Linked DNA regions of Callithrix jacchus. The protein of the gene in region 2 interacts with the protein of the main gene of each other region in a pairwise test. Links are inferred from orthologs where the notes say so. Each region holds a gene or a part of one and is shown on either strand. Other genes may lie near its edges.

What was found.
Region 1: the proteins of LDOC1 (region 2) and MFAP1 interact in binary tests that used the Homo sapiens proteins (3 or more experiments, as listed by UniProt). The two-hybrid records come from large-scale screens. The link is inferred for Callithrix jacchus from reciprocal best matches to the Homo sapiens genes LDOC1 and MFAP1.
Region 3: the proteins of LDOC1 (region 2) and AP1M1 interact in binary tests that used the Homo sapiens proteins (3 or more experiments, as listed by UniProt). The two-hybrid records come from large-scale screens. The link is inferred for Callithrix jacchus from reciprocal best matches to the Homo sapiens genes LDOC1 and AP1M1.

The regions. Positions count from the first base shown.
Region 1 is NC_133509.1:31,484,447-31,488,723, forward strand, and holds the start of MFAP1 (microfibrillar-associated protein 1), read right to left. Parts: upstream 2,844-4,277; 5' UTR 2,708-2,843; coding exon 2,629-2,707; intron 1-2,628. UniProt on the Homo sapiens protein: Involved in pre-mRNA splicing as a component of the spliceosome.
Region 2 is NC_133524.1:138,057,650-138,061,114, reverse strand, and holds LDOC1 (protein LDOC1), read right to left. Parts: upstream 2,001-3,465; 5' UTR 1,871-2,000; coding exon 1,433-1,870; 3' UTR 596-1,432; downstream 1-595. UniProt on the Homo sapiens protein: May have an important role in the development and/or progression of some cancers.
Region 3 is NC_133523.1:14,819,185-14,823,489, reverse strand, and holds the start of AP1M1 (AP-1 complex subunit mu-1), read right to left. Parts: upstream 2,844-4,305; 5' UTR 2,743-2,843; coding exon 2,701-2,742; intron 1-2,700. UniProt on the Homo sapiens protein: Subunit of clathrin-associated adaptor protein complex 1 that plays a role in protein sorting in the trans-Golgi network (TGN) and endosomes.

The sequences.
Region 1 (4,277 bases), on a different chromosome or scaffold from region 2:
GAGAACTGCTTGAACCCAGGAGGCAGAGGTTGTAGTGAGCTAAGATCGCAATTCTGCACAGAGTGAGACTCCATGTAAAAAAAAAACAACAAAAAAACTTTGAGAACCTCAGAGCTTTATTTCCCATATATTCATCATTTACACACTTGGTTGTATCAGATTTTTACATTTTTGCCCAATCTAACAGGTGGAACAGGTGTGAAATGGCATCTTGTTATTCTAATTTGCATTCCCCTGATTACTAGTGATGCTGGGCATCTTGTTCATGTGTCTAATACGCTCTCTAGGTTTAGCCACCACACCCAGCTAATTTTTGTATTTTTAGCAGAGATGGGATTTCACCATGTTGGCCAGGCTACTCTTGAACTCCTGACTTCGTGATCCTTCCGCCTCATCCTCCCAAAGTGCTTGGATTACAGCTGCGAGTCACCACACCCAGCCTTTGAGACAGAGTTTTGCTTTTGTTACCCAGGCTGGAGTGCAATGGCGTGATCTCGGCTCACCGTAACCTCCGCCTCCTGGGTTCAGGCAATTCTCCTGCCTCAAACTCCCGAGTAGCTGGGATTACAGGCACACGCGACCATGCCCAGCTAATTTTTTTTGTATTTTTTAGTAGAGACGGGGTTTCACCATGTTGACCAGGATGGTCTCGATCTCTTGACCTTGTGATCCATCCGCCTCGGCCTCTCAAAGTGCTGGGATTACAGGCGTGAGCCACTGCGCCCGGCCTTGTTTTGAAGAGACAGGGTCTCAAGGTGTTGCACAGGCTGGAGTATAACGGCACAATCATAGCTCACTGCAGCTTTGAACTTCCGGGCATTAAGTGATTCTCCTGCTTTGGCTTCCCCAAAGTAGCAGGAACACATCACTACATCCAGCTAATTTTAAATTTTTTTGTAGAAATGAGAGTCTTGCTATGTTGCCCAAGCTGGTCTTGAACTCCTGGCCTCTAGTGATCCTCCTGCCTCAGCTTGCTGAAGTGAGGGATTACAGGTGTGAGCCAATGTGCTCCACAAATTCTTATATTCTTTTTTGTTTTTGTTTTTTGAAACAGTCTTGCTCTGTTGCCAGGCTGGAGTGCAGTGGTGCGATCTCAGCTCACTGCAACCTCTGCCTCCCGGGTTCAAGGGAGTTTCACCATGTTAGCAGGATGGTTTTGATCTCTTGTCCTCATGATTCGTCCACCCTGGCCTCCCAAAGTGCTGGGATTACAGGCATGAGCCACCACGCCCGGCCAAATTCTTACATTTTTACAACTCACTTTGGAGAGGTATTAAAGCTGAATTGGCTAAAGAACAACAACTGCAGAACTTGAACTTGTAGCTGGATTACAGGTGCCTGCCACCACGCCTTGCTAATTTTTTGTATTTTAGTAGAGATGGGGTTTCGCCACGTTGGCTAGGCTGGTCTGGAACTCCTAGCCTCAGGTGATCCGCCACCTCAGAGGTGTGAGCCACAGTGCCCAGCCGCAGCACTTTTTTAACAGGGGGAAAAAAACAGCAATGGGACAACTACCTGCCCCTCAGGAGGGAATAAACTGTGGGTTACAGTTTATTTAATTAATTAATTTATTTTTTTTGAGACCGAGTCTCGCTTTGTTGCCAGGCTGGAGTGAAGTGGCGCGATCACGGCTCACTGCAACCTCCGCCTCCCAGGTCCAAGCAATTCTCCTGCCTCAGCGTCCCAAGTAGCTGGGACTGTACAGGTGCACACCACCATGCCCAGCTAATTTCTGTATTTTTAGTAGAGTCGGGGTTTCACCATGTCGGCCAGGATAATCTCCATTTCTTGACCTTGGGATCCACCTGCCTTGGCCTCCCAAAGTGCTGGGATTACAGGCGTGAGCCACCGCCTCTGGCTGGTTACAGTGTACACAATGGAATTCATAAGCAGTTCAGATGAATAAATATCTATAGGGATTCAAAGATAATTCCCAAAATCCATGTTGAGGCTAGACACGGTGGTGTCTACCTGGGAGGCTGAGGCAGGAGGACAGCCGGAGTCCAGGACGTCGAGTCCAATCTGGGCAGCATAAGCAGTCTTCTATGGACAGCAAAAGAGGGACTATATCCCGCACAATGCCCAGCAAATAGGCATTCTCTCTGTCTATGTATCTACCTACCTACATATCTATCTAGTCTGATATTATATATTTATATTCTGATATATACTTAAGTCCCTAATTATTAGATTAATATATATATACTTAAGTTCCTAAGTAGACTAATACATATATTCTAGTAATATGTAGTGATATTATATTCTAATATTAGACTAATACATATATTCCAGGATATTAGACATCTATATTCTGATATATAGTTAAATTCCTAAGTAACTATTAAGTACTTTTATATATGTAATATATATAATGTACATATTAGTCTAAGGAATTTGTGTAGGCTAAGGGGTGCTTGCTGAATATGAGAGCAGGCCACAGGAAGAAGATCGGATGCGAGTGGGTGGGGGTGGAAAGGTCGAAGAATTTGGGAGCCAAATCTTGAGAGCTGGCGGGATAGAAGTGGTCTGTCTGGGAGAGACAGACCTCTCCAGACCTGGGAGAGATCTGGAGGTTGCTGGGGCCGAAAGAGTAAAATTCGGCTGGGAAGAGGGTTGTCAGCACCGTACCTTTCTCATTGCGAACCGGGACGGCCCCAGCCGTAGACTGAATGGGCGGTTGCTTCATGAGAGCGCTTGGGACCGACATGTTGATGGCAGCGACGGTGATTCCCGAAACTTGACTAATTCCAAACAGTGAACACCAACAACGTCAACGAAGAGAAGCGATCCCTTCCACCTACGTTCACGAACACAGCTGCTCGACTGATAGCGAAACCGCTTACGGCTGGGCTAGATAAACCGGAAATATGTAACGAGAGGATTGTGGGACGGTGGAGGACCTATGAGCGCCCACAGCTAGGAAGTTGCGTCTGTTTCTGCGCCTGCTCTTCGGCTGCCCTCGGGTCCTCTACGTCGCAGAAATTGGAAACCGCCTTTGGCGGGAAATTTTGCTTCTTTTGGGCTTTGCTGGTAGGACCGGCGGACCCTGCGGTGAGGAAGGTTCTAATGAAAGGTTCCACGTGTTAGGTTGGTTAGAAGCCAAGAACAGCATAATTAATAAGAAACTGAGGCGCCAGTGAGTTGCCGTTTGGCTTGTTGAAAGCTCAGAAAAAGTAGAGTTAGATGGAGTAAAAATCTTGGTAATAGTATCTGATTAGGTCAGTTGATGAGGCCAGTGTGAGCTGTGGTGCGGTATTTGGTGTCACACAGGGCAGGTGGTGCTGATTTAATCCAGTGACCAAAAAAAAAAAAAAAAAAAAAAAAATCCCCCAAGGTGCCTGAGACATTGCCTGCCCGAAATCCCAAAACTCCACTTCTAGGCTTTCAGGTTCTTCCACTGGTAGTTGGAAACTACCTATTAAAATATATTCCTGGCTGGAAAGTGTTTGCATTTAAGTTTCTAGGTAATTATTATTTTGAGACAGGGTTTTTTTTTTTTTGAGGCAGAGTTTCGCTGTTACCCAGACTGGAGTTCAATGGCACGATCTCCAGCCTCTGCCTTCTGGGTTCAAGCAATTCTCCTGCCTCAGCCTCCCGAGTAGCTGGGACTACAGGCGCGCACCACCATGCCCAGCTAATTTTTGTATTTTTAGTAGAGACAGGGTTTCACCTTGTTGACCAGGATGGTCTCGATCGCTTGACCTCGTGATCCACCCACCTCGGCCTCCTAAAGTGCTGGGATTATAGACGTGAGCCACCGCGCCCCACCGAGACAGGGTCTTGTTCTGTCACCCAGGCTGGAGTGCAGTGGCGCGATCTCGGCTTACTGCAGTCTCCACCTCTCGGGTTCAAGTAATTCTTGTGTCTCAGCCTTCTGAGTAGCTGGGATTACAAGCACCCGCCACCACGCCCTGCTGATTTTTGTATTTTTAGTAGAGGCGGTTTTACCGAGTTGGCTGGGGTCAAGGGATCCACCCACTCCGGCCTCCCACAACCTGGTAATTTTTGTGTTTTTAGTAGAGGCGAAGTTTCACCATGTTGCTCAGGCTGGTTTTGAACTCCTGACCTCTGATGATCCGCCCGCCTCGGCCTCCCAAAGTGCTGGGATTACAGATGTGAACCACCGCGGCCGGCCTATTTAAGAACTCTTTAAGGACTTGTAGAATAATAACAGAAGCAGCCCCAATTTACCAGCTGGGTTGTGTAAAAAAAGAAAAAAAAGAAAAAAAGGGAAAGGGCATATTTCACAGTAGGAAGGACTTTATCATTGTGGGGGA
Region 2 (3,465 bases):
CCGCCTCGTCCTCCCAAAGTGCTGGGATTAGAGGCTTGAGCCACCGCGCCCTGCAGAAATATTTGTTAAGATCAGGGTTTATCTTTATGGGTACACGTGCCCAGGATCCAGGATTTAATGTTAGCTGGAGCATCTGAGAGTGACATAAAAGCAATATACTATGTTGGCTATTTGGAGCCTGAACTCAGCAGCTACACATAGGCAATAAGGATTAAGGGGCAGAACTTCCCTGGTACAGTGTTAAGGAATCTGAAAGCTCAGATAATTGGGAGCATTACATCTCTCTCTCTCTCTCTCCCCCCTCTTCCAGGTTTATGACTGTTGTTATGGTCTAATTATTAATACTGCCTCTTTGCCATCTGCTCAGCCAAGCCTTACCCATGCCATTCTGGAGGAACCAGAGGACATACCCTTTGCCAGGGCTTTATGAAATACATTGGTGAAGGGAACATCAGAACACTGACAGAGCCCTGAGGTAGCTGTCGCCAACAGCCTGGAGATGACAGCGGGGAACCCTGATTTCCATGGGAATAATGGTAGACAGAGTGACAGTGTTGGAGGCCAGTGACAGCACTTAACCATTAAAAGACAATCATTTCTTTTTTTTGTAGTGCTTGATATTTATTGAAAATAATGCCAATGCTTTTTCCAGGTAGTATTGAGGAGCTGGGCTGAGTGCTTGCTTTGTTCTTAGTATTATTTGTCCAAATGCACACATCTGGGGGACTGCTGCAATTTTGAAAGTAAAGTGACAGCTGTGTAAAACCAATGCATAGGAAAAAAGAAATGTCAACAATTTGGCTGCCAGGCACACCAAGCCCCTGCAGCAATCTGGTGGGGCATGGGAGGACCCTCAGAGTGGGTAGAAAACTAACCAGGCTGAATGATTGGCCCCTTCATGGGTTGGTGAGCTGTCCGAATCAATGTCCGAAGAGGTATAGCCAACTCTGGCATCTTCCAGGTTGGTCCTTACTTCGAAAGGCGGTAGTATGTAGGTGGGATGTGGTGAGTGGATGTGAAGTGGCAGCATAGTTCTCTGGGCAGATGTAAGCCTGGCAGTAGGGTAGGTGGCAGCAGCAGGGCTATGGGTGGTATGACCAATTTATAATGGGGGCATGGCCAATAACTGGGGCTCAGGACACAGTTCGGATTAGCAGGGGAGGGATTCAGGGGCTGGCCAGGGTAGATGACACTTCCAAGCATTTCCGAGTGAGTGAGGCTTCAGCCCCAACCCCAGCAGCAGGTAAATGGAGCACTATTCCTGGAACAAAGACAAGCACTACGGAGAAACGAAGAGAGAGAACTGAAGGGCGCGAGTAGGGAAGGGGACCAGAGGGCAAGGCGGAGAACAGTGGCTCCCGGCGGGGTGAGGGCTGGAGAGAGGGGGTGGCGGCGTGCAGGGCCCTCCCCGCTAGGCCTGAGGGTCTAAGGCCTAGTAATCATCCTCTTCGTCGTCGTCGTCGTCTTCATCGTCATCCCAGCCAAAGCACTGTTTCATCTCATCGAGGAAGGCCCGGTAATCACCTAGGATGGGGCTATCCATCTCGATGTAGGGCACCACCCACTCCTCGGCTTCCCCGGTGAGGAGGCTGATTAGGAATGCCACCTTCATGGCGTCGTTGCAGAATCGGTTCTCGTTCACGAGCATGTAAGACGCCGTCTGCACGATAAACTCGGGGAGCCGGGAACTCTCGCCATTAAACGTTTCGGGGAAGGGCACCGGGCAGCTTGGCGGACGTACCTGGCGCAGCAGGCTGGCCCTCTCGCACACCAGCAGCCGCAGCTGTTCCATGAGCTGGCTGTTCTCGATGCTCAGGGCGCGGTGCCGCATCAGGAGCGCATGCAGCAGCAGCACCAGCTCATCCACCATGGCGAACGGCTTGGAAGTACAGGGCTCGGCTCGGTGCGGCTCGGTGCGGCTCGGCTCGGACAAGGTGCGTACGGAGGCCTCGCAGGAAGTGCTTGTCCACCAAGGCGCGCGAGGGCCAGGGGCGGGGGGCGGGGGGGCGGTGCGGTGCGCGCCGGAGTCCGGGAGGCTACGCAAGCCCCGCCCACGCGGCCTTTCGGACGGACGGTGCGCCGGCGCGGCGCGGGAGGGGCGTGGCCAGGCGAGGGGCCGCGGAAGCGTGGGGGCGTGGCCGGGATGGGAAGAGTGTAGACACACAGGGCTTGGCTAGGACTAGGATGCGCTGGGTTGCTGAACCACCGGCTTGTCGTAGCCCTCTAGGCGGGCAGTTAAAGGCTGCGGTCGGCTGTCAGAGCTCCTGGATGTGGGGCCTGAATTAGCAGAGGACCTGGCGAGCGCTGAATCCGGTCTCAGAGAAGGTACACTTGTTCAAGCTGAAAAGATTAACCACTCTTCTACCTAGCCAACTCGCACAACTCAGTGTTCCTTCGTGGGTCTGTGGCCACTAAATTCTCTTGGCGCGATGTTTTATTAACACATTTTCTTTCTTGTTTAAATCTCACTTAGCGAAGTATTGACACTGCTGGCTGCACTGTGGAAGTCACACTTCCTTTCAGGGTCATGAAGACCCTCAGGGGGTCCTGCCTTTCATGAAAAAGGCAGTATTTAAACAGTGACTTATTTAATTGGGAAATAATATGATATACCTACCTTAAAAAAAAAAAAAACCTAAATAGCAAGATATAAAAAGTTCTGCAAAATCAGCATCCGATAACCAATTGCAGGCATCCCACACATTTTATTCTCTATTTCTTGTTCTGCTACTAGTGCCATTGGCCACTGGGTATTATTCTCTACTTAAAAATGAACTGTGAAGATGTGAGTGTTTATAAATAATTTTCTTTTTCTACTTTAAATGGATCTCTGATCCTAGAGCTATCATGAATTATTGGCTCTGCTTTCAAATATATTGCCAATTCAATCATGTCTTGCCATTTCTACCACTGCCACCCTGATCCCCACCCAGCCTTTCTTTCTCACACACTGCTGCAACTAATCACTTAGCTTTCGCTTTTTTCTACCTATAGTATATTCTCCATAAAGTAGCCACGGGAATCATTTAAAACAAAAATTAGATCCCTTCACTCCCTTGCTCAAAATCATCCAAGTTTCATCTCAGAATAAAGAGCAAAGTTGCAGCCAAGGTCTACAAAGCCCTTCCTTCTATCCTATGCCTCTTCCCATTTTCTGCTATGCTCTAATCACTGTCCTTGCTGATTCTCACACACGTCAAGTAGTTCTGGCTTTGTAGCCTTTGCACCTTCTACCCCTTCTGCCTTGCAAGACTTGTCCCAGTTGGCTGCCTGACTCCTTCACCTACTGCTTTCAAAGAGAACTTTTCTGGCCACCGGACCTATCAGAGAACCCTGTTCTCTGCCACCAATCTCTAACCCTTGACTCTGCTTCATTTATCTACATAACATTTACTGTGCTACTGGCCAACATGTCAAATAGCACTTTGCTCATCATCTGCTTCTATTTTGCAATATATGTGTCAA
Region 3 (4,305 bases), on a different chromosome or scaffold from region 2:
TTGGTTGCAGAGGAAGGGAGGGAAGCCCACAACTGCCTTGGGGAGCTTCCTGAAGGGCAGGTCTGATCATGCCTCTCTGGGCTACGGTCTCCTCACAGTGGCTGCTCCTTCTTGGAACTGAAGTGGTCCCCATGGGCTCTCTCTCCCAGCTCAGCATTAGTCAGGACTTCTGGCTTGGCAGCCCCAGCGGCTGCCTCTTGTGTCCCTTGCAATGCCTCTTTTCCACCTGACGTGGTCACCGTCCAAACCCCCTCCAGCATCGCCCTGTTCCAGGGGGCCTTTTGTAACCACCTCCGCCGTCCACTGGCTAAAGATAAGGTTGAGCAACTGCAGTACTTAGGACCTTGGTCCTGCCCCTGTGGCTGCCTGGAGGTGACTCCCCTGCTAGACAGAGAGGCCTGGGAAGGCTAACATGGACCAGGAGTGGTGCTGAGCCTGTCTCATGCATCTGCTCAGCAAATCTGCACAGTAAGTCCATAAAAGCCTCTTTTGGCCAGGCGCAGTGGCTCACATCTATAATCCCATCACTTTGGGAGGCCAACGTGGATAGATCACCTGAGGTCAGGAGTTCGAGACCAGCTTGGCCAACATGGAGAAACCCTCTCTCTACTAAAAATACAAAAAATTAGCTGAGTGTGGTGACGGTGCCTGTAATCCCAGCTACTTGGGGGGCTGAGGCAGGAGAATCACTTAAACCTGAGAGGCGAAGGTTGCAGTGAGCTGAGATTGCACCATTGCGCTCCCTGGGCGACAAGACCGAAACTCCGTCCAAAAAAAAAAGCCTCTTTTGACCAGTGAGAAAAGCGAGGCTCAGAGAGAAGAGGCTTGTCCCAGCTGAGCAGCAGAGACGGGTTTTCAGCTCAGCCCTAACACCAACATCCATGGTGCCAATGGATACCCTATGCCTGGCACAGGACGGGGTGCATGCTAGGTGCTCATGAAATGTTTGCTGAAGGCATAAGCAAGCCAAGACAGGCAGCCTGCTGGCACGGCTGGAGAGGCAGTGGCCAGGGCAGAAGCAAGACTCATGCCACCAGGGCTCAGGGAACACCACACCCACCCAGCCTCTGGCGTGCCTCTAAGAAGGCGGGAGAAGGAAGGCCAGCACTGGGTCTCACTAGGTGTTGACTATGGGTGCTTCCAGGGCAGGCACCTACTCAAGGGACTTCAGGAAAGTGCTGGGGTGGTGTGGCAGCCACTTCACCTCTTCACTCCCAGCGGCTTCAGAGCTCACTCTTGCCCACCTCTCACCTAGGACCTGACACCCACGTTTGTTTCTCTCACTGATCAATGTTGGGCTAACATTGTTGGACTGGTTCTTGTTGCTTCCACACACAATAGGCCAAGCAGCCACTTGCCGTGCACCTGGGATGGACTGGGGAGAAGGCAGAGGCCCATTTCAAAAATGCGGGGACAATCCTGCCTTTAAATTTTCTTAGATCCTCTGGGGAAGATGCCCAGGTTCTAGTTTATGTCCAGCTTGCTAGTGTCTCAGGTCCATTTGTCACCTCTGCTCAGGGAAACCCTCTCTCATTCTCTAGCTGAGACTGACTGTCCCTATTACACACTCACCCTGCCCCACCACTGCAATTGACATTTATTTGTGTTTTTGGAGATCGGTAACCATCTCCCCATCAGTCTGTGAATGCCATAAGAATATGGATTGTTGAGCCCTAGCACAGTGACTCATCCCTGTAATCCCAGCACCTTGGAAGGCCGAGACAGATAAATCGCTTGAGGTCAAGAGTTCGAGACCAACCAGCCTCGTCAACATGATGACACCCCATCTCTACTAAAAATATAAAATTTAGCTGGGTGTGGTGGTGGACACCTGTAATCCCAGCTACTCTGAAGGGTGAGGCAGGAGAATTGCTTGAACCCAGAAGGTGGAGGTTGCAGTGAGTGGAGACTGCACCACTGCACTCCAGACTGGACAACTGACACTATCTCAAAAAAAAAAAGAAAAGAAAGAGGGGGGACTGTTTTTTGCTAAACACAAATCAACCCCAGGTAGTACCCTGCCCAGCATTAGTAGTGCTCCCTAGATATCAGCTGAATGAACAAATGATTCTGGATCGGACTCCTAGACTTGCTACTTCTCTGTGACCAGTGTGACCTTGGTCAGGCTGCTTCACCTCTCCGTGCCTCAGTTTCTCCCTCTATAAAATGACACTTGTGATCACCACCCACCTCACCTAACCCTTTTAAGTCAGTATCACAATGAACGTGGAGAAATTTCTACTGAGAGAAAGTGCACGGTAAACAGAAGCTGCAACGCCCTGAGAAGGCGGGACTGGCTTGAGGGAACCCAGTCCCCGCCACGCCTCGCCACCCCTGGCCAAGGGTCGTGCATCCCCTGGACGCCCTGCCTGGCTCCCGGGCCGGCTGCGGCCCCACTTCCGGGTCCTCCACCGAGGCCAGAGCCCCTGGTCCCTGCGCCTGATAGTAGGGGTCGCGGCAGTCGGTTACCTGGCAATGCGGTGGCGGTAGCCCACCGCGTTACCTAGCAACAGAGCGGGGCAGAGGCACTGCAGACCCCCGCCCAATTACCCAGAAAGAAACAGGGTGTGAATCTCCCGCCCTCCTAGCGTCACACCAGGGTGGCTCACAGGCCGGTTACCTAGCAACAGGGTGGATCCCCGCGGGGAGGAGGACCCCGCCGGTTGCCGGGCAACGGGGAGGGTGGGGAGCCCTCAGTACCTTGCCCTTCAGGTCCAGCACGTAGACGGCGCTGGCGGACATGGTGGCTGCAGGAAGCCTCCGCAGCGGCCAAGGGCGGCGGCAGCGACTACCGGGCGTTGAGCGAGGCCGGGCGCGGCCCGCGACAGCTCGCCTCCACTTCCGGTTCGGAGAGCCGCGCGGGGACCGTTATGTCCGGTCCGGGAGTTGTCAGGAATGCGCAGGCGCAAGACGGAGCGTGCGCAGGCGCGGGACGTCAAATGTGACCATGTTTCTTGCTCTTGTCTGAAGAATCCCGGAAGTAAGGCCCTTGGAGGGCGGGGCCAAGTAAATCAGGGTACCTGGTGGCCGCTGCCAGCTGAACAATGGATCCAGAGCAGCTGGAAGCCGCCTCCCGTGGGCCGAGTTAGGCGAGAGAGCCTGGTGATGGAACCGATCTTGGGCCCAGCCCTATAGAGCTCACAGTCTGGTGGGGAAGCCTATGAAACAACTGTACAATCACCAATTATGATAAGCTCAAAAGGGAGGGGTAAGGCCGTGGTTACTTGGAAAGAGGTCAAACTAACTTTCTGAATGGGAGTCAAACCTTATCAGCGGTCACCACCTGTCAGTGTCAACATTTATCAATGAATGGGCGTCCCTGTTTATTGCCTGGAATGTTGTAAAAACCAGCCTCATTGAACCTTGACCCAAACAAGTACCTTGTTTCATTTCTGCAAAGTTAGTAGTCGGTAAAGCAACTGGTGGCTCCTCATGAATCCACTGAATCATATCTAATTTGCTTTTATGAATGATGGGGCTTTGGAGAAATGTCTGCATTCTGTTCCAATTAGCCATCATAGTACCCTGGGGATCCCAACCCTACAATATCGGAGTGATTGACCCAGGAATGCCTGCCTCTTTCATATCTTTTATATTCGCTCCTATCTCCGTTTTGGAGTTTGGAAAGATGATTTTTTGCAACTCGGTAATTATATAGACTTTGCTTAGGATAGAAATGTGAATCCCAGCACTTTGGGAGGCTGAGGCACACGGATCACCTGAGGTCGGGAGTTCAAGACCAGCCTGGCCAACATACTGAAACCCTGTCTCTAATAAAAATACAAAATTAGCTGGGCGTGGTGGCGCATGCCTGTAATCCCAGCTACTTGGGAGGCCGAGGCAGAAGAATCGCTTGAACCCAGGAGGCAGAGGTCAGGGTGAGCCAAGATTGCACCATTGCACTCTAGCCTGGCCAACAAGAGCGAAACTCTATCTCAAAAAAGAAAAAAAAAATGAAAAAGAAAAAAGAAATGTAACCGAAACTCTAGAAAAGCAAAGTAGAATGTTTGAAGACTACTAAGTGACTCCTGGGCTGGAAGGGTTCTTGCACAAGGCACAGAACAAGTGGCCAAGAGGCTTTTTTGTTTGTTTTTGAGACGGAGTCTCTCTCTGCCACCCAGGCTGGAGTGCAAAGGTGCGGTCTCAGCTCACTGCAGCCTCTGCCTCCTGGGTTCAAGCAATTCTCCAGCCTCAGCCTCTCGAGTAGCTGGGATTATAGGCATGTGCCACCACGCCAGGCTAATTTTTGTATTTTTAGTAGAGACAGGGTTTCACCACATTGGCCAGGCTGGTCTCAAACTCCTA